Arabidopsis thaliana: one gene and its partners. The protein of the gene in region 3 purifies or fractionates together with the protein of the main gene of each other region. This does not show direct contact. Each region holds a gene or a part of one and is shown on either strand. Other genes may lie near its edges. The genes, in order: PDC3, AT5G01320, PPC1 and AT4G33070.

Region 1 (5,040 bases), on a different chromosome or scaffold from region 3:
CTTGTGCCAAAAGCATAAAGATTTACTGAAATATTTTTGCAATTTTCTTGCTGTCATCTTACATTTAGTTACTTTTTTACAGATAGAAATTTACTTATATAAATTGATACTTATATACACGAAACACGGACGTTTTATTTTGCACTAAAAAATTTATAATTTTTTGTGATACGAAAAGACATTTTACGTTAGAAGATGATGAAAATAAATTTATTTTCAAACTATATTAGAGTATAACATGGATTTTTTATTTTATTTTTGTTATTAACTATATATGTATCTTTGAACTTGTTTGCCAAGATGAACCATTAATGCAGCATTAAGTCTCTGATTTTCGTCTTAACTATGATATAACTTACATTAAGTAGCTGCCAAAGAAACGAAAAAGAACCTAAAGAAATACTAGATTCGTATTGTTCAAGAATTTTATTACCTTATATTGAGAAGTTAGTATAATTATTGGAACTCAATAATTTACATGCACGTAAAGGCATTAATAAGATTAGAATATTCCATCCTGATTCCATCAACAATTTTCATTTCACGTTTAAGAAAAAGCAGAAATATTGAAGTTTATAATGAAAACTTTGTCAACAAGGGGTTCCCTAATATGAAGGATATTAAAAGCAAAATCAATTAAAACCAGCGGTCAAAAAATCGAAACCAGTACTTAATTAGACATAAGAGAAAGAACAAAAGTAGCGATGTGATTAGATTGCCAATAAACGATAGATGCTTGAGCGACACTCAAGATTCGTTTCTTTTCTCTTGCTTCTACTGAGGATTGGGAGGACGACCATTAGCAGCTGAGACGCGAGAGCCCCACTCAAGCAACTCTTTGCTCGTATCATCCTTGTGAACAATCACTTCAATGAAACAAAGACTATCTTTCTTCTCCAATGTCGCCGTGTTAATCGCTTCCACTAACTCCTCCTCGTATCTCACCTACCAAAAACACAACATTCATAATGTTACTCTTCAACCCTGGACTCATATGTTTAATTTCCAACTGTAAACATCAATTACCTTTGTGGTCCAGCATTTGCCTTCACCATTATGAATAGCATCGACAAGACCAGTGTAGTTCCAATTCTTGATCACATTGTAAGGACCATCATGAATCTCAACTTCAATGGTGTAGCCACCGTTGTTGATCAGGAAGATGATGGTCTTCTGTCCGTTACGAATCATTGTGGAAACGTCCTGAGCCGTCACTTGGAAACTTCCGTCTCCAATGAAAGACAACACTCTCTTCTCCGGTGTTGCTTGAGCGTATCCTAGAGTCGCACCAACAGACCAACCAATTGATCCATACTGCATTTGAAACTCGTACCTACAATATAGAGAACAACGACTTTTTAAAACTCTTGTGTGTTTTTTCTTTTCCAGAGAATTACTAAAAAGTTCTGGGGATATCTATATAGGCCCATAAATCATCTCAGGCTAAATACCAAGGCATTTTATATCGTTTCCAACCAAGTACATATATACCACCACTCTTTAACCAGCAATTTCTAGATGTTGACTTTACTAGATGAGCTTATATTGACTGCTTCAACAATGTTAAAAGGTAAAAGATTTAGTTTCCTTTTTCTAGATACGTACCCACATCCTTTAGGCAGCTTAAGTTTCTGACAATTGAACCAAGAATCACCAGTTTCAGCAATCACAGCGGTTTCATTAGAGAGCATCTTCTGAATGTGTTGGAACATTGCGTTGATTCTCAAAGGCTCTCTTGGTTTGCATTTCAAAGGCTTACCTTCAGGGACAAAGATTCTATGGTAGTTCTCATAAGCCGTCTTGTTAGGTTTCACCCTCTTAGCCAACTCCCTGAAGAATTCGCTCATCCGAACGCAACCAAAGGTAGGACCATTAGCCACAACGACACTATCAGGATGCACAATGATGGCTTTTTCTTTCTTGAGGAGAAGTGAGTAACCAACGGAGCTGTAGTCGTTGAAGATTGGACCTGCGAAGATGTAAGCATCCGCGGACTCGACAATCTCAGAGCAGAAAAGAGTGCTCACTGCTCCCCAGTAAGTGCCAATGAAATGAGGATGGTTCTCTGGGACAAAGCCTTTGGCAGATGGCATCACTGCCACGGGGTAGCCTGAAGCATCAGCTAGCTCCACAAAGGCATCCCTAGCTTTAGCCACACGCAACTTGGGACCACCGACCATAACGGGCTTCACGGCCTTGTTTAGAAACTCCAATGTTGCTTCCACGGCAGCTTCTAAACAATCCTTGTTGCTCAACCTAATTTAAGAAACAATCCACACATCTTTGAGCTTGATTCTTGAAGAGAACAGGATTGATCAGTTATATTTACCTTGGAGTTAGGTCAAAAGGGACAGGATAACTAGCAAATGTAGGATGAGGAATGGCAGCTAAGTTACAGCTGATGCTAATGTACACAGGCTTGCTCTCTCTCAGAGCTGTTGCTATCGCCTTGTCGATCTGTTCATGAGCATCCTCTAAATGGTTCACCACAGCCTGAAAACAAACACACTGTCAAAATCTAAGAATGTGATGATCAAGATTCGATAATGTGGTTATACCTGATAGCAAGTAACAGTTTGGAAACACCTAAGCTCTTGGCTAAAATCAGGTAAACCAATGGTGTGATGAAGAATCCGGTTAGTGCCAAAATCGTTGGAGTTAGGACCTCCAACGATACATATAACTGGTAGGTTCTCACTGTACGCACCAGCGATAGCGTTCAAAACGCTGAGTCCACCAACGGTGAAAGTCACGACGCAAGCACCGACTCCACGAGATCGAGCGTATCCATCGGCGGCGTAACCGGCGTTTAGCTCGTTACAGCACCCGATGTTGTTGAGCTCCGGGTTGGCGATGAGCTGGTCAAGCAGAGATAGGTTGAAATCACCGGGAACAGTGAAAATGTCGGTGACTCCGGCTTGGACAAGACGGCGGGATAAGTGACGTCCAAGAGTCGCTGCAGAGGAGCCGAGTATGGTTGCGGCGGTGGGAGCGGAGTCTTGGATTGTTGCGACGCCGTTGCTTGGTAGACTTCGGACGTCCATTGGAAAATGAGCTTAATAATTAGGATATGATGATGAAGCTCTCTTTGTTTTTCTTGTGAGCAGTATAATGCTGTTGGATTATATAGTTGTTTGTGCGTTGTAGTAGATTCAAAACACTACCAGTTTATTTCGTAATAAAATTGTTTAGTAATTATATAGTTTTTTATACGAATAATGCATACGATTATATTATAAAATGTTCAATTAGACATACAGAATTAATCATCTGATTTTCCTCTCTGGACTTACATTTAATTCAACGTGCAAAGAAACGAAAATAATATATTTTAATTGTTTATAAAGATATACTGATCAGTTGTATTATTGTTCAAGACGACTTGTATTAACTTGAAATAAATTATTAGAATTCAATAATTTACATGTGATGCGCGCAAGGGTAGAGTTACATCGTGATCCCATACCATAATACTTCACATGTGTATGTGGCCATATTTAACAACATTGCGAGTCTTTTTGTTCCTTGCTTCTTATATAGTTAAACGATTCATACTAATTCTGTTACTTGGGATTTGGGAACAAATTGTTCTTGTTCTCATAAATTACACTCTTATCTATGTTAGTAAACTTACGACGCTCATTATAAAGTATCACATGAACAACAAAAAGTCTCCATGGTGATGGAACATTGCTATTTCATTAATATTTAAATGGATTATTAATGTGTTAACGTGGGAGCACATGTTAACGCGTGAGAACAAGTTGTTATGTTTTCATAACATTAAAACCAAAAAAAAGGGTTAATAACATGTTGTTAAACAACAATGTATATTTCAACGTGTAAATTTTTTTTTTGCCAGACATTCTAACGTGTTTAGTGATTACCTTGAAAACTATCTCTTCGAATCATTGTTAATATCTCAAACCAACAGAGTCGCCGGTAATATATTCCCAACATTCATTTTGAGTACATAAACAATGTGACCAACTTTTAGGCGATTAGGGTTTTTCCGTTTCTGCCGCCGCGTTGCTGGTCGCCGGCTTCTCGCCGGTTGAGATCTTGTCATGTCTAAGAAGAAAAAGAAGATCCCTCTCCTTCCTGTCAGTTCAAAGTTCGCTCGGGTTTTGGCTTGCGCTCAGTCCGGCTCTGTCCCCCTGTCGTCGTCTGCTCCTTCCGGATCTGCTTCGCCTCCTTCCTCTGGTCTTCCCTGCGCTGGCTCTTTGGCTCTGGTTCTCCCTGTTCCTCTGGTTTTCGACTTGGAAGAGAATTCCTTGTCTCCCGAGGTTATTTCGGAGACTGTTTCTCTCATCCCGAAGTCGTCTACTCTTACTCCTCTGGTAGCTATTGAAGCGAATGGGTCATCCATTCAGCCTCTGCCTACTGTAATTTCCTCCTCGGTTGGCTTGGGATCAGTGTCCGAGATCTCCTCCGCTGGTTCCCCCATTTTGACTCCTTCAGTTGGCTCAGCTCCTCTCTTAGCTCCGAGCTCAGGGCCTGTTGGCTCCTCAGATATGGTTGCTACCAAGTCTCTCTCTTTGGGATCTGCTATTCCTCAGTCTTCGACTCCTATTTCGGGCTCTTCCTCTCAGGCCCCCAGCTCCGATTCAAAAATTGATCTTCCTTGGGTAGCTAAGTTTAAGGCTTCACTGCATAACCTTAAGCAAATGAGTCAGCCAACTTACTTGGAAGATGGTACTCCGGTTGTGATCGCTCCTTCCTCGGTCTTGTTGAAGTCTGCTGCTTTGTGGAAGGGCCATGTCGTAGCTCAATTTCATGGCTCTTGTCCTCCTGCAACCCGGATCTTCTCTGATTTGAATCCAATTTGGGGAAATTACGGTGATATTACCGTTCGCATCGTCTCCGAGACTGTGGCTCTGATTTTTATTCCGGCTCTTAATACTCGCCAATGGGTGGTGGATGTGGGATTCTGGCAAGCTGGTAACTGTTCTTGTACAGTCTACCCTTGGTCTTCAGAAGGTCTCCTTAATATTGATGAGTTGAAGACTGCTCCAACCTGGGCTGTATTGAAGAATGTTC
Region 2 (4,510 bases), on a different chromosome or scaffold from region 3:
GAAACACTGGAACTCTTTCACGACCTCGTTCTTCCGTGACTCAGTTGATGTACTTGAAGAGGTCAACAGCCAAGGCAAGGCCAATGTGGCGAGCGAAGATCTGTTGAAAGGTGAGCTGCGTTGCAATCGGTGTAGAAGCGCACACCCAAATATTCCAAAACTTAAATCACATGTCAGAAGCTGCCATTCTCAATTTCCAGACCATTTACTCCAAAACAATCGCCTTGTGGCTAGAGCAGAGACGTAGTAGTTATAACGACCGGTTCTATTTCGGTTAGGATTTTTTTTTCTTTGTTATCTAATTGTTACGGGTAATATATATTGTGATTTTGGTTCAGATTCAGTCTCTGTAAAAATTCATCTCTGTTCTTAGGTTTTCATCTTCTTCTGGTTATTAAGTTTTTGATTTTGTTCTTGAGTTATAAACTTAAATGGCAAGAAAACAAGACAGATAAAAAGAAAAAAAAGTCAAATAAATTTTAACCCAATTGAGATGTAAGATGGTTTAAAAATGTTTGATTTAGGTTGAATCAATTGATTTTTTTCGGACTTTACATATAAGAAAAAGCACAAATATTGAAGAATATTAGGGAAAAAGGGAATTGTATTACACCATCAATGGTAATGGTACAGTACAACTAACTGGAAAGTATCAAAAGCAATTAAAACCAACGGTCGAAAATTCGAAAATTCGAACAGAAAACAATCTAATTCAATTGCAAAGAAACGAGAGATGCTTGAGTCACACTCAAGATTCTTTTCTCTTGCTTCTACTGAGGATTGGGAGGACGACCATTAGCAGCTGAGACGCGAGATCCCCACTCAAGCAACTCTTTGCTTGTATCATCTTTGTGAACAATCACTTCAATGAAACAAAGACTATCTTTCTTCTCCGTTGTCGCAGTCTTAATCGCTTCCACTAACTCCTCCTCGTATCTCACCTGCCAAACACAATGTTACTTCAACACCAAATTCATACGTTAGTTACTAGTTGTAATCATTAATTACCTTTGTGGTCCAGCATTTTCCTTCACCGTTATGAATAGCATCGACAAGACCAGTGTAGTTCCAGTTCTTGATAACATTGTAAGGACCATCATGAATCTCAACTTCAATGGTGTAGCCACCGTTGTTGATCAAGAAGATGATCGCCTTCTGTCCGTTACGAATCATCGTGGATATGTCCTGAGCAGTCACTTGGAAACTCCCATCTCCAATGAAAGACAACACTCTCTTCTCCGGGGTTGCTTGGGCGTATCCTAGAGTCGCACCAACAGACCAACCAATGGATCCATACTGCATCTGAAACTCGTACCTACAATATAGAGAACAACTTTTCTCAAAACTTGTGTTTGTTTCGCTATTGTCACAATGTTAGAAATGTCAAAGATTCAGTTTCTTTGTTAGACACGTACCCACATCCTTTAGGCAGCTTTAGCTTCTGACAATTGAACCAAGAATCACCAGTTTCAGCAATCACAGCGGTTTCACTAGAGAGCATCTTCTGAATGTGTTGGAACATTGCGTTGACCCTCAATGGCTCTCCTGGTTTGCATTTCAATGGCTTACCTTCAGGTACAAAGATCCTCTCATAGTTCTCATAAGCTGTCTCGTTACGCTTAACCCTCTTAGCCAACTCCCTGAAGAAATCGCTCATCAGAACGCAACCAAACGTTGGACCATTAGCCACAACGACTCGATCAGGATGCACAATTATTGCTTTTTCTTTCTTGAGGAGAAGAGAGTAACCTACGGAGCTGTAGTCGTTGAAGATTGGACCTGCGAAGATGTAAGCATCCGCAGATTCGACAATCTCAGAGCAGAAAGGTGTGCTTACTGCTCCCCAGTAAGTGCCAATGAAATGAGGATGGTTCTCTGGTACAAGGCCTTTTGTAGAAGGCATCACTGCGAGAGGGTAGCCTGAAGCATCAGCTAGCTCCAAAAAGGCCTCACTTGCTTTAGCCACACGCAACTTTGGGCCACCAACCATAACTGGCTTCACTGCCTTGTTCAGAAACTCCAATGTTGCTTCCACCGCAGCTTCTAAACCCATCGTGTTGCTCATCCTAAGAAACAATACATACAATAGTGAGAAATCTAAAACAAACGTTGATTCGATGAGTCTGTTTAGAGTAATGATTACCTAGGAGTTAGGTCAAAAGGGACAGGATCACGAGCAAACGTAGGATGAGGAGTTGCAGCTAAGTTGCAACTGATGCTAATGTACACAGGCTTGCTCTCTTTCAAAGCTGTTGCTATCGCCTTGTCGATCTGTTCATGAGCATCCTCCAAATTGTTCACCACAGCCTGAAAACAAACACATAGTTAAAATCTAAGCAAAGGAGATATATATGTGATGATCAAGACTAGTTGATATTGAAATGTGTTAATACCTGGTAGCAAGTAACAGTTTGGAAACACCTAAGCTCTTGGCTAAAGTCAGGTAAACCGATGGTGTGATGAAGAATCCGGTTAGTGCCAAAATCGTTGGAGTTAGGACCTCCAACGATACATATAACTGGTAGGTTCTCACTGTACGCACCAGCGATAGCGTTCAAAACGCTGAGTCCACCAACGGTGAAAGTCACGACGCAAGCACCGACTCCACGAGATCGAGCGTATCCATCGGCGGCGTAACCGGCGTTAAGCTCGTTACAGCATCCGATGTTGTTGAGCTCTGGCTCGGCGATGAGGTGGTCGAGAAGAGTTAGGTTGAAATCACCGGGAACAGAGAAAACATCGGTGACTCCGGCTTGGACAAGACGGCGGGATAAGTGACGTCCTAGAGTCGATTCGGAGGTTGTGGTGATGGGAGCGGAGTCTTGGATTGTTGCGACGGCGTTGCTTGGTGGACTTCCGATGTCACCAGTTGTTGGCTTACACGTGTCGATGGCTCCAATTTTGGTGTCCATTGGAAAGCTTATTATGAAGAAAATGAAACCTTTTAGTATTTATTTTAGTGGTGATGATGAGTAATAAATTGGAATTATTAGATGGGTTATATAGTTGTACATGTTGATTAGTGCAAATTACATTCGGTTTCTGACTTCCTTGTGCCAAAAGCATAAAGATTTACTGAAATATTTTTGCAATTTTCTTGCTGTCATCTTACATTTAGTTACTTTTTTACAGATAGAAATTTACTTATATAAATTGATACTTATATACACGAAACACGGACGTTTTATTTTGCACTAAAAAATTTATAATTTTTTGTGATACGAAAAGACATTTTACGTTAGAAGATGATGAAAATAAATTTATTTTCAAACTATATTAGAGTATAACATGGATTTTTTATTTTATTTTTGTTATTAACTATATATGTATCTTTGAACTTGTTTGCCAAGATGAACCATTAATGCAGCATTAAGTCTCTGATTTTCGTCTTAACTATGATATAACTTACATTAAGTAGCTGCCAAAGAAACGAAAAAGAACCTAAAGAAATACTAGATTCGTATTGTTCAAGAATTTTATTACCTTATATTGAGAAGTTAGTATAATTATTGGAACTCAATAATTTACATGCACGTAAAGGCATTAATAAGATTAGAATATTCCATCCTGATTCCATCAACAATTTTCATTTCACGTTTAAGAAAAAGCAGAAATATTGAAGTTTATAATGAAAACTTTGTCAACAAGGGGTTCCCTAATATGAAGGATATTAAAAGCAAAATCAATTAAAACCAGCGGTCAAAAAATCGAAACCAGTACTTAATTAGACATAAGAGAAAGAACAAAAGTAGCGATGTGATTAGATTGCCAATAAACGATAGATGCTTGAGCGACACTCAAGATTCGTTTCTTTTCTCTTGCTTCTACTGAGGATTGGGAGGACGACCATTAGCAGCTGAGACGCGAGAGCCCCACTCAAGCAACTCTTTGCTCGTATCATCCTTGTGAACAATCACTTCAATGAAACAAAGACTATCTTTCTTCTCCAATGTCGCCGTGTTAATCGCTTCCACTAACTCCTCCTCGTATCTCACCTACCAAAAACACAACATTCATAATGTTACTCTTCAACCCTGGACTCATATGTTTAATTTCCAACTGTAAACATCAATTACCTTTGTGGTCCAGCATTTGCCTTCACCATTATGAATAGCATCGACAAGACCAGTGTAGTTCCAATTCTTGATCACATTGTAAGGACCATCATGAATCTCAACTTCAATGGTGTAGCCACCGTTGTTGATCAGGAAGATGATGGTCTTCTGTCCGTTACGAATCATTGTGGAAACGTCCTGAGCCGTCACTTGGAAACTTCCGTCTCCAATGAAAGACAACACTCTCTTCTCCGGTGTTGCTTGAGCGTATCCTAGAGTCGCACCAACAGACCAACCAATTGATCCATACTGCATTTGAAACTCGTACCTACAATATAGAGAACAACGACTTTTTAAAACTCTTGTGTGTTTTTTCTTTTCCAGAGAATTACTAAAAAGTTCTGGGGATATCTATATAGGCCCATAAATCATCTCAGGCTAAATACCAAGGCATT
Region 3 (7,017 bases):
CTACCGCCGGCCAAAGTCGGTGCCCTTAATTCGTGGTAGTTTGACACGTATTTTTCTCTTTTTATTTTAAACTATATTTTGATGGATAACATATGTTTGGTCGTCTTCAACTTTTAGCTAAATTTGAGTTTATTATTATTATTATATCACAGAAAAGCCAATTTACTAATAATAATAAAATTTCTGTTTTTTTGCATCATTAGTGGAGGCGCGTGATTAACACTCACCGACTAAGACTAGTGTGAACTTTTTGACCTCAGTGAAATTAAATTAAAGCATAAAGTACGTTGGTGAAAAACCGGTACACCGTACATGTACGCTATAAATTCTCACAATTAATACAGAGCCGTTGGGACGTTACTCGAACTAGAAAATGCACACCGTGTCTATATACGAGACTCAAACACCGTGTCGTTTTCTTCGAACCATTTTTGCTTTTTAACGGCCTCTTTCCGCAAACATGTCTGCCGTTTTTCGGGACCACAAACATACTCAAACTACATGTTTGTTTACACAATGATGAACAAAAAGCCGAACCAAACCAGACCGAAGTGTTTTAAGCAACTAAGTCAGTGCCGTTCTTGGTCTAGTGGTGTAGATAAGAAAATAAACAAGAAAAGATTCTCTTGTTCTGTTTTATTAAACTTGAGAAAAAAACAGAGCATGTGTTCAATGATCTCGAAGTACTCGTACACGAAAATCAACATTTTGACGGTGGATACATAAAATAAACCAGAATCCAACCTTATTTTCCAAATCTGTAGTTAAAAAAAGGAGAGACTTGAGAGAGAAAGAGAGATTCAAAGTTTGTTTAACCATCTCTTTGTAGCTTAACCGGTGTTTTGTAGACCAGCAGCAATACCCTTCATCGTCAAGATGAGTGTATCTTCAAGTCCTGGCGCGTATTCGCTAGTCGGGTTAAGCTCGATGAGTTCTTTTGCTGGTTTGCTCGATTCCGCTATCTCCTTAGAAATGTGTGGTCGCAGAGTCACATGGTAACTCGGATCACGGATTCTCTTCAATGTGTAAGCTTGACAGACATTGAGAGTTGTAATGTAAGAATCACGAAGTCTCAGTCTCTGTTTCAAGTAAGGATCACCTTCAAGAAGATCTTTGTGTCCAGCGGTCTGCAAACAGCAAAGCCATTCAGACAAAACCTTACAATAATAATAAGAAGAAAGAAGTCAAGAAGGCTCTGTTTTTACCTGGAGGATGAGTTTCTTGGTTTCTTCGAAGTTAGCTCTGAGTTTCTCACCAAAAGGCCAGAGTTCCTCTGAAACAAGAAGCTTATCGTACAAAGCAGCAATACCAGGATCTCCTTTAGCGAACACCATTTCGATTAGATCAATGGTGACTCTAAAGAAAGGCCAGTGTTGGTACATATCTTGGAGCATATGGAGGTTCCTGACGTCTTTTTCGATCACATGTCTAATTGCTGATCCGAATCCAAGCCATACAGGAAGATGGAATCTTGTTTGAGTCCAAGCGAAGATCCATGGAATTGCACGGAGAGATTCAATGCCACCGCTTGGTTTACGCTTCGAAGGTCTGCTTCCGATATTCATACGTCCATACTCCAGTTCCGGTGTAGCCTGCAACAGATTTTAAGATTCTGTGAGTTTTAAGACTCTGTGGGGTGAGTTAAAGATTCCGAGTGAATGTAATAATACTTACGAGGCGGAAGTACTCGACAAACCGAGGTTCTTGGAACACAACTGAGCGATACTCCTCGGTTGCAACAACCGCCATTTCATCCAGCAAAGCGCGCCATTCTGGTTTAGGCGAAATTGGAGGACGCATACCGTGCTCGAGTGTAGCAGCTGTGAAACGCTGAAGTGTTCTAAAGCATAAGTGCTCTTCACCAAACGATTGCTCGATGACTTCACCTTGAACTGTGACACGGAGGGAACCGTTAATAGTATCCGGAGGCTGAGACAATATAGCAAGATGGGTTGGTCCACCTCCTCTTCCGACCGTGCCACCACGACCGTGAAACATTGTTAGCTTCACACCGTACTCTTTAGCAACCTTCACAAGCTCTTCTTGAGCTTTGTATAACTGCCAAGCAGCAGATAACCGTCCAGCATCTTTTCCTGAATCCGAATAACCAATCATAACCTCTTGCTTACCGTTAATTCGGTTTTTGTACCAATCAACAGAAAAGAGCCTAGCAACTGCAGCAGGAGCTGCTTCCAGATCTGCTAGCTTCTCAAAGAGCGGAACAACTCTCAAAGGCTGTTTCACTCGGCATTCACGCTGTAAAAGCTCAACAGCTAATACATCAGAAGGTGCAGTTGCCATAGAGATAATGTAAGCACCAAAGCTATCTGCTGGTAGCTCGGCTATGACATGAAACGTGTCCAGAACATCAGCTATTTCTTCGGTTTTAGGAAGATCAGAACCGAAAAGCGGACGTTTGCCACTTAGCTCAGATAAAAGCCATTCTTGGCGGCGTTCTTCAGACCACTCTCTGTAGGATCCGATATCTAAATGCGTGGTGATAGCATCCAATACATCAGTGTGGCGGTCAGATTCTTGCCTTATGTCAAGTCTCACAAGAGAGAGCCCAAAGGTTGAGACTTGCCTCAAGAAATCAAGAAGGCTTCCATCTGCTATTGGACGATCACCACATGAACACAGAGATCGGTAACAGAGCTCAAGAGGTTCCAAGAACTACACAAATAGCATGAGAGAGTGGTTTAGTACCAAATCATAACCGGGAGTTAAAAGATTCTAATTGCAATGATACCTGTTCCAAGTTAATGAAAGTAGCCTCTACAGGGACATCAGAGTGTCCATTGCTGAGCAGTTGATGAGCGCGTTCACGTGTGTGATAAAGCTTGTCCCTTACATCGCCAAGAATCACACGGTATGGCTCAGTTGTAGGAATTGACTTCCAGAATTCTGCAATCAAGACAATGAATGATAGGTTCCAAATTAAATCGGTTCCAGACACATAGCTTAAACATAAACAAAATGCTCAAAATCGGTTATTTTTCTTACCTATGTAATGTTTTGCAGCATCTTTCCTCGAATTTGCATGAACTTCATCAGCTCGCGCACGCAGCTCGTCATTGCAACGCCACATAGACATCTATGAAAGAAGCAGTAATCATGAAATGAGGTGATACATAAATAAAAGAAAGTAAGGAGACTAAACTCAAAAAAAGAACTCGAGATCAAACCTCAAACATAAGATCTTCGATTTGGTTAAAGTACATAGTAGCAGCCATCATTCTAGCTAACAAGCAAACATCTCTGGTGACTTCAGGTGTAACCCTTGGGTTACCTGCAAATACACATATATTGTGAGTTTGTGACATGAGTAAAACCATTAAGAGAGGGAGCGCAATAAGAGAGCTATGCGAGAAGGACTTGTAGAAATGTACCGTCACGATCACCACCCATCCAAGAAGAGAACTGAATCAATGGAGCATTATATGGAACACGTTCTTCGATCCCTATGTTTTTCAAAGCCGTGTCAACACGGCGCAGAAACTTAGGAACACCTTTCCAGATAGTTTCATGGAAATAACTCATTCCCGCTCTCATCTCATCTTGAGGAGTAGGTGGTGTTCTTTTGATTTCATCTGTTCGGAATGCAGCTTGAATCTAACAAAAACCCAAGTTTTTTTTCCATTAGTTTCCAAAATCATGTAAATATGAAGAATCCAATAAGATTTTACCTCTCTCTGAAGAGCCTCATCGAGCTCTTGCTTGTCATCAGGAGTAATATCCTTAGCATATAGTTGAGCCAGACAGTCTCTTATCCTGAAAAACCGCACAAAGTAGATAACTTTAACATCAAAACATCGATCCAAAGCAAGCCCGGTGAAGCCTCAAAGACTAACCTCCCATGTTTCTGAAGCAATGATCTTCTCACAGACTGAGTAGGATGAGCAGTCAAAACCAAATCCACAGTCTGATTCTTGAGAGCATCAAAGATCTCTTCAGGAGACTTGTTCAGATCTCCAACAAGCTTCTTGAAAGTTTCTTCAAGATCAGATTCAGTAGTAGCAGAGCTCTCATCAACAAAATCACCTTTCTTCAGCTTCTTGATCCTACGGCGATAAGCAATCTGCACTTCCTCAGCCAAATTGGCTAAGTTAAGCATATGAGAGAAAGCTTTAGCGATAACAATGGAATCTCCTGGATCTAAACTCGTTAGCACACTCCCTAGCTCCTCTAGCTTCTTAGGTTCATGCTTCCCTTCGTATTCTGCAGAATGCTCATAAAGCTCTTGAACCTATATACAACAACACACACAATAAGATCATCAAAATTAGATCACATGAAACTACTAATCTCAAAACTAACATAAAGTTTAAATCTTCCTGCGTTTCAAAACCCTAACTAATCTAATCCATGATCGAATCAAAAAAAGTTGAAACCTTTAGTCAATACTCAAAACAGAGCATGTAGTTTCAGGATCTTATAGCAAAAGGGTCAAATCCAAAATGGAGAAAACGTACAGTTTCACGGAGATCTTCACCGTGCAAATCCTGGAGGATATCGAGAAACCGATCTAGAAGCAAAGCATCATACTCAACAAGCTTGTCGTCTTCACTAACTTTGCCAGGAACCAGTTGACGAAGATGAACATCAATCGATGCCATCTTCTCTAACTTCCGATTCGCCATTTTTTCACCTGCTTCGCTCTGAAGTAAGACCAAACAAAATAATTAAAGGGATCCAAAAATTAAAGATCTAAAGACAAAATTGACTGAGATTTCGGCGATGAAATCGGAGACAGAAAATAAGAAAGTCGGAAACTTTGAGTCAACAGAAACAAACAGACCCAGATGAGAAAAATCTGCTGATAGTGCGGAGGAAAAGTAAATCTAACAAGTGTGTGTGTGTGTGGAGAAGCTAACCAGTTATAGAAGTAAAAGCTGTGTCCTTTGAAGTCAGTCAGATTCAGATTTCAGAGATACATAACCAAAAATAAGATACTTGGCTTACCTATATATAGAGAGTGAGATCATGATGGATTCCTATACATTATTCTATTTCTATATGTGATGCTCGCTTATAGTTGGAATTTTTAACCTTTTTTTCCATGATTTCTATCTCTTTTTTTCCTCAATTTATATATATTTATTAATGCATTGAGAAGATTTTTATTTATGTATAAAAGAGAGATTTTCATTGAATCTAGTGATAGTCAAGAAAGAAATATTATGATTAATTAATTTTTGTGGAACAAAAAAATAACCAAAACAATAACATAAAATATTTTTATTTTTAATATATCAGTAAAAAATTAATTATATCACTTATGTAAACAACATGCATTCTTCCGTAATTTTGATTTATATAATCAACAAAAAAACATCAAAAATTGATTCACCTAAGTTAACACCAATCATATTTTGAAAATTTACACTTTCATGTTTGACTCACAGTACCTACAGAATTAGAATTCGATCGATTTAATATAAAGATTATTTATCTCTTTATTGTGGTTAAATTACCGGAAGATTATAGTGTTTGTAAAATAATTTGTTGTTCTAAAATTCACGTGAGCGAATGTAGAGAAGAGCATGTGTCAATGCACGGAAGTTGATGAATAAATCTCTGAACTTTCAACCTAACTTTCACTTTCAGCGATAAAGTTGACTTTTAATTTTTCTTTCTTATAAAGGACTTAAGTATTTAACCGACCATCATCTATTTCTTTCGGTTTTATTAGTTCTTCTAACCTCCCAAAATCTAAAATCGGCAGTCTACGATAAATTTTTAGACATATATAAAATCAAATATAATATTACTCTTGTGAACGAAAATGTGATAGTAAATAAAGTAGCGGTATATGATGCTGATTAGATCATGCCTTATCATTCTTACTCATGTGATGATGTTATTATCATAACTAGATCATTTTTGGTAAGTGACAAAGTCGTACATGTATGTGATGTGATGTCACGTTATGAATATTTTACATTGGTCGACTCCAATTATTCAAAAATTGGATATCTTCATATGTGCTAATGGAATATTCGGATAATTTGAAATGTCTTTATTATAACACAAGTCAACAGTCGACAGACGACAGGCATGAGTGATACAGTCTAATTGTTGGAATATTAGGTACTCACTTTTCTAGTTTTCTTTAATATACTGCAAAATTTATTAATTTCAGCGAATGATCACACATTTTTTTCTTTTCACCATCACATAAAATTCTTTTGGACTATAAAATATATAGTGATATGTATTGGGTACATACATTTATATAAAACTAAAAATTTACTGCAAAAAAAAACTAAGAACTAAACACCATAAATCCAAAATCTAAAAACAAATTAAGAAACTACTGCCATTTTAAAGCCTTAACTTTGTCAAATGATATATATGAAGTAAAAACAAAAAAAAAAAGTAAAAGAAAACGGAAACATGAAATAGAAGCTTCGTTAATTAACCGGTGGAAATACATTTTCATCCCCAAAAAAAGAAACAGTTGGAAATGCATCATGCATGCACCATGAAACTAACATATTTGCCGTGTTTGAATTTACATTTTCTGAAATAGAATTATAAATATGGCCTTACGTGCACTCCTTAATTTCATAAACAAGCCTCTTTTTTTTTTTTTCCTTTCTTCATATGATTAGACTTTTAGTATAATATAATGAATATTATGAGCACAAGGCTGCATATACTTAATAAAGTGATGATGGTTAGCTGATAACTTGGTTGACGTATAACATGATAATTAAAGTCCATTATCAGGACGAAGAAGAGTTTGAGAAGCTAAGGACCAAGTGTGAAAACTTGTTTCGGTTCTTTTTTAAAACACTTTTGTTGTTTTGACGGCATCCATTTGGACACTTTACTAGTGCGGATGCTTACGGAAGCAATATTGCATGGTCGCGTAATGGCTTATGACATATTTCCGACTCACTAAAAGATAGTATATGGTAGAGTATACTACTTACGCGAGTATCGTGATTAATGCCGTTATAAATATTTTTAGCAAAAACTATACTTTTAACTGAAAATCACTTCTCTTGGGTA
Region 4 (4,720 bases), on a different chromosome or scaffold from region 3:
ATTTCATCAGAAGGCTGAGCTATGTTTGTGTTTATAGTGTCCTGTGGAAGAACCTGACAGTGTGAAACTATCCTGCAGGATAAAATGTCACGCAGGGATGATCCAGATGCGTATATGGTGGTTGACCCTCTTCTTGAAAAGGGAAAAGAGAAGTTCAACAGAATGCAAGCCAAACAAAAACGAAGGGAGCGAGAATGGTCTGGAAAATCTCTTGCCTGAGTTTGGAAATCTTAACCATTTAATTTTGTTTTCTTATGTTGATCCTTAAGATGCCCGTTCACTGTCAAAATCTCTCCTGTTTAAACTTAGATACATTCAGAGACATGAATGAGCATCTTAAATAAGGTCACTAGCTCCAATGATACAGAACTAATGTGTTAATACATGTTATATGTAGGAAACTTAGCTATATAAGTGATATGATTTTAAGCCCTTCAACTGACATTTATCTTCAATAGATTGGTCATCCAGGTTGGATGGTATTCTTCACTAGGATATGTGGTTCAAAATTCTAGCAAAACATGGTTAGTTCGATTTTTTAGCAAGTTTAAATGCAAAAAAGATCATATGATATTAACCAAATTGATTTAGATTGAACCATTTGGATTTGTTCAATCTAATGAAACTGCAAAAGGAGCTTTACTTTATTCCATGATAAAGCGTACATGGAAAGAGATACTAATAAGTTTGAAACATGATTAAACCCAACGGTCGAAAAATCAACACTTATCAGAAAATGTCACTAAATTGGTAAGAAGCATTGAAGATTCTGTGTTGCTTCTTCTACTGAGGATTGGGAGGACGGCTGTTAGCAGCAGAGACGCGTGAGCCCCACTCAAGCAACTCTTTGCTCGTATCATCCTTGTGAAGAATCACTTCTATGAAACATAGACAATCTTTCTTCTCCGTCGTCGCTGTCGTAATCGCCTCCACTAACTCCTCTTCGTATCTCACCTGTCAAACACACCAAATTCATATGTTAGTTTATAACCAAAGTCTGGCTAAAACTCCATTGTCATCAATCTTTTTAATTACCTTTGCAGTCCAGCAATTGCCTTCACCGTTATGAATGGCGTCAACGAGACCAGTGTAGTTCCAGTTCTTAATCACGTTATAAGGACCGTCATGAATCTCTACTTCAATGGTGTAGCCACCATTGTTAATCAAGAAGATGATCGTCTTCTGTCCATTACGCAGCATTGTTGATATGTCCTGAACCGTGACTTGGAAACTCCCATCACCGATGAATGCCAACACTCGCTTCTCTGGTGATGCCTGTGCGTATCCTAGAGTTGCACCAACAGACCACCCAATCGATCCATACTGCATCTGAAACTCGTACCTACAATGAAGAAAGCAGGTTCAAATCTTGTGCCTACTTCACTATAATAAGTGTAAAGATTAGAGTCTCTTTTTTTTTCTGGACACTTACCCACATCCTTTTGGCAGCTTTAGTTTTTGGCAATTGAACCAAGAATCACCGGTTTCAGCAATCACAGCGGTTTCACTAGAGAGCATCTTCTGAATGTGCTGGAACATTGTGTTAACTCTCAATGGCTCTCTTGATTCACACTTCAATGGCTTACCTTCAGGGACAAAGATCCTATGGTAGTTCTCATATGCAGTCTCGTTACGCTTCACCCTCTTAGACAATTCCCTGAAGAAATCGCTCATCAAAATGCAACCAAAAGTAGGACCATTGGCCACAGTGATACGATCAGGTTGCACAACGATGGCTTTTTCTTTCTTGAGGAGAAGCGAGTAACCAACAGAGCTATAGTCGTTGAAGATTGGACCTGCAAAAATGTAAGCATCCGCAGATTCCACAATCTCAGAGCAAAAAGGAGTGCTCACTGCTCCCCAATAAGTTCCAATGAAATGAGGATGGTGCTCTGGTACAAAGCCTTTCGCAGAAGGCATCATCGCCAAAGCATAGCCTGAAGCATCAGCTAGCTCAACAAAGGCATCACAAGCTTTAGCCACACGCAACTTAGGACCACCAACCATAACTGGCTTCACAGCCTTATTCAGAAACTCCAATGTTGCTTCCACCGCAGCTTCTAAACCCATCTTGTTGCTCAATCTGATAAAACCATTTGTGAGTTTTAATTCTCGCAGAAACAGAGTATTGATCAGAGTTCAAGTATAAATTACCTTGGAGCTAGAGAAAAAGGGACAGGATCACGGCTAAATGTATGATGAGGAATCGCTGCTAAGTTACAGCTTACACTTATATACACAGGCTTGCTCTCTTTCAAAGCTGTTGATATTGCTTTATCAATCTGTTCATGAGCATCATCTAAATTGTTCACCACCGCCTGAGAAACAAAAACAGAACCAAAATCATTCATAATCCGACGCTAATTAATCTTCAAAATATTTCTAATTAGATCTGATTTTTTGTGATTACCTGATAACAAGTCACCGTTTGGAAGCACCTAAGCTCTTGGCTAAAATCAGGTAATCCAATGGTGTGATGAAGAATCCGGTTAGTGCCATAATCGTTAGAGTTAGGACCTCCGACGATACAGATAAGAGGAAGATTCTCGCTGTAAGCACCAGCGATCGCGTTTAAAACGCTGAGTCCACCAACGGTGAAGGTAACAACGCAAGCGCCGACTCCACGAGATCTAGCGTAACCGTCGGCAGCGTAACCGGCGTTTAGCTCGTTACAACATCCGATTAGGTTGAGGTCCGGCTCAGCCATGAGGTGATCAAGCAAAGTGAGGTTGAAATCTCCGGGAACAGAGAAAACATCCGTAACGCCGGCTTGGACGAGACGACGAGCTAAGTGACGGCCGAGAGTCGCGTCGCAGTAGTTGATGGTGATAGCGGAGGAAGGAACAGAGTTGTGGATTGTTGCGACGGTGCCGTTTGTTGGACTACAGACGTCGCCGTTCGTCGGCTTGCAATCATCGATCGATCCGATTTTGGTGTCCATGGAAATGGGAAGGTTTGAGTTCACTAACAGAGAAATTAAAAAACTGTCAAGTTTGTGTATGTGTGTGAGAGATATACTCTTTTTATTTTTGGGATGAGTAACAAAATGAGAATGGGAGAGGTTTTTATATAGTTGTTGGATTAGAGACTAGGAGGAATACATGGGTGGTTTTTTGACTAGTGGTTTTTGGTTTCTGTTTTCTTGTGCAAAAAGCAAAAAAATAATATCTAACTTTGAGATTTGACCCAAACATTCTTCTTCTTAATTATTGTTTATGTCGGTCTAAAATGCATTTACTGTTTTAGTATCATACTACTCCCAGTAAGGCTGTAACAGATTATTACCATTGGAAATATCTTAATTTTCCAAAATTGAACATCAATACATCAGTTATTTTTGTGATTCTCCTCTTAATTATGAACTAATTTGTTATACGTGGGAACAAAGTTATAATATCCCCATTCCAAATTTGAGTTAATTTCAGGTTTTTAGCCGGAAACAATAATTTGTATACTCATCAGTTATTATTGAGTTAATTCTTTGGGTTCACTTTTAAAGTTTCAATGAAGAAGTGTAATTGCTAGCGTCAAACGGCAAGAGACGTGATGCCATTTGCATTTGGTCAGCAAACTCTATTAGAAAAACATATTCGGACGATTATCGTCGTTGAGATGCAGATGGTTTTGGGGTTTGCTTCTTATAGTATAATCAGTTAAGTAAGAAATATCTACAAATTTTAAATTCACTTAATCGCTTTGGTTATATACTAATCACACAAAAGATACACGTAGATCTATGATGGAATCTTGTTTTTGTCGTCGTAACTTTCAAGATCAATAGTGATGTTACGGTAATTATATGATTAAGCTCACACATATATACTGTCACACATACATATAGTGTAATTCAAGGGAAATAGCTTACAATGTTTTTTTTTCTTTTTTTCTTTTCATATTGATATTTCCTAGAAAACTGTATATCAACATATCAATAATTTTTCATAATGTAATTATACATAAATTTATGCAATTTTCTTTTTTTTGGGTAGCAATATTAAGTATTTATGCAAAAATTATTTGACTATGATCACTTTTATTTTTTAGTTCTTATAGATTGAATATATATATATAAAATCCAAGCGTGCAATAATAGATTTTATAGTTTTGAGGATTGAGGTTAAAATAGTCATACCCAAAAACTTGTATAAAAGCAATATAAACAAAAGCTTTTACTAAATTAAATCATTTATGTATATAAGGGTACCTTATTTAAATAAAAAAAATTAAATCATTCAAAATAATATGAGCAGACCTAAAATATTGGGGCCACCGTCATTCTAAACCGTCTCATTGTTTGTTTCATAAACCAACGGAGTCGCCGGTAATCTCCTTTGCAACTTGATTTCTCAACAACTAATAATTAATTACTTTTCCTACCTTTTGGTTAAACACATGAAATTAATTACTATATCCCAAACCACTATGATCGTGGTTTTAAAGAACGTCGAAATAGGCCACAAAAGACCAAAAAAAAAAAAAAAAAAAGTACGTCGAAATAATTGAGCTGTAGCACTTTTTGTTTTAGTAAAGCTAATGGTAAGTGTTTCAATTGGTCAATTGATTGTTTTTATATGACCCGTTGTGTTGAGTGTTCTTCTACGTGACGAGACAAAACAGAAAATAATATTCTTATAAGCTTGAAATTGAAATACGGCGCATGTTCAATACTGAGAGGTGAAAACTTATGTGCTGCAACGGTGATACACGTGACCTTCATGCG

The links.
Region 1: the proteins of PPC1 (region 3) and PDC3 fractionate together in Arabidopsis thaliana (co-fractionation; one large-scale study listed by BioGRID). This does not show direct contact.
Region 2: the proteins of PPC1 (region 3) and AT5G01320 fractionate together in Arabidopsis thaliana (co-fractionation; one large-scale study listed by BioGRID). This does not show direct contact.
Region 4: the proteins of PPC1 (region 3) and AT4G33070 fractionate together in Arabidopsis thaliana (co-fractionation; one large-scale study listed by BioGRID). This does not show direct contact.

What each region holds. Positions count from the first base shown.
Region 1 is NC_003076.8:131,764-136,803, forward strand, and holds PDC3 (pyruvate decarboxylase-3), read right to left. Parts: upstream 3,158-5,040; 5' UTR 3,045-3,157; coding exon 2,559-3,044; intron 2,494-2,558; coding exon 2,330-2,493; intron 2,257-2,329; coding exon 1,606-2,256; intron 1,334-1,605; coding exon 1,027-1,333; intron 946-1,026; coding exon 775-945; 3' UTR 501-774; downstream 1-500.
Region 2 is NC_003076.8:128,714-133,223, forward strand, and holds AT5G01320 (Thiamine pyrophosphate dependent pyruvate decarboxylase family protein), read right to left. Parts: upstream 2,975-4,510; 5' UTR 2,913-2,974; coding exon 2,394-2,912; intron 2,308-2,393; coding exon 2,144-2,307; intron 2,067-2,143; coding exon 1,416-2,066; intron 1,316-1,415; coding exon 1,009-1,315; intron 942-1,008; coding exon 771-941; 3' UTR 550-770; downstream 1-549. Other genes in the region: APTX (APRATAXIN-like protein), read left to right, coding at 1-247; PDC3 (pyruvate decarboxylase-3), read right to left, coding at 3,825-3,995, 4,077-4,383.
Region 3 is NC_003070.9:19,883,431-19,890,447, forward strand, and holds PPC1 (phosphoenolpyruvate carboxylase 1), read right to left. Parts: upstream 4,984-7,017; 5' UTR 4,875-4,983; exon of another isoform or gene 4,659-4,874; 5' UTR 4,641-4,658; coding exon 4,473-4,640; intron 4,247-4,472; coding exon 3,852-4,246; intron 3,772-3,851; coding exon 3,687-3,771; intron 3,613-3,686; coding exon 3,390-3,612; intron 3,290-3,389; coding exon 3,186-3,289; intron 3,095-3,185; coding exon 3,004-3,094; intron 2,905-3,003; coding exon 2,750-2,904; intron 2,674-2,749; coding exon 1,675-2,673; intron 1,593-1,674; coding exon 1,206-1,592; intron 1,128-1,205; coding exon 831-1,127; 3' UTR 505-830; downstream 1-504. UniProt on the Arabidopsis thaliana protein: Through the carboxylation of phosphoenolpyruvate (PEP) it forms oxaloacetate, a four-carbon dicarboxylic acid source for the tricarboxylic acid cycle. Contributes probably to the adaptation to inorganic phosphate (Pi) deprivation.
Region 4 is NC_003075.7:15,951,736-15,956,455, forward strand, and holds AT4G33070 (Thiamine pyrophosphate dependent pyruvate decarboxylase family protein), read right to left. Parts: upstream 3,069-4,720; 5' UTR 2,942-3,068; coding exon 2,411-2,941; intron 2,319-2,410; coding exon 2,155-2,318; intron 2,084-2,154; coding exon 1,433-2,083; intron 1,343-1,432; coding exon 1,036-1,342; intron 955-1,035; coding exon 784-954; 3' UTR 522-783; downstream 1-521. Other genes in the region: AT4G33060 (Cyclophilin-like peptidyl-prolyl cis-trans isomerase family protein), read left to right, coding at 79-219. UniProt on the Arabidopsis thaliana protein: May play a role in ethanolic fermentation during anoxia.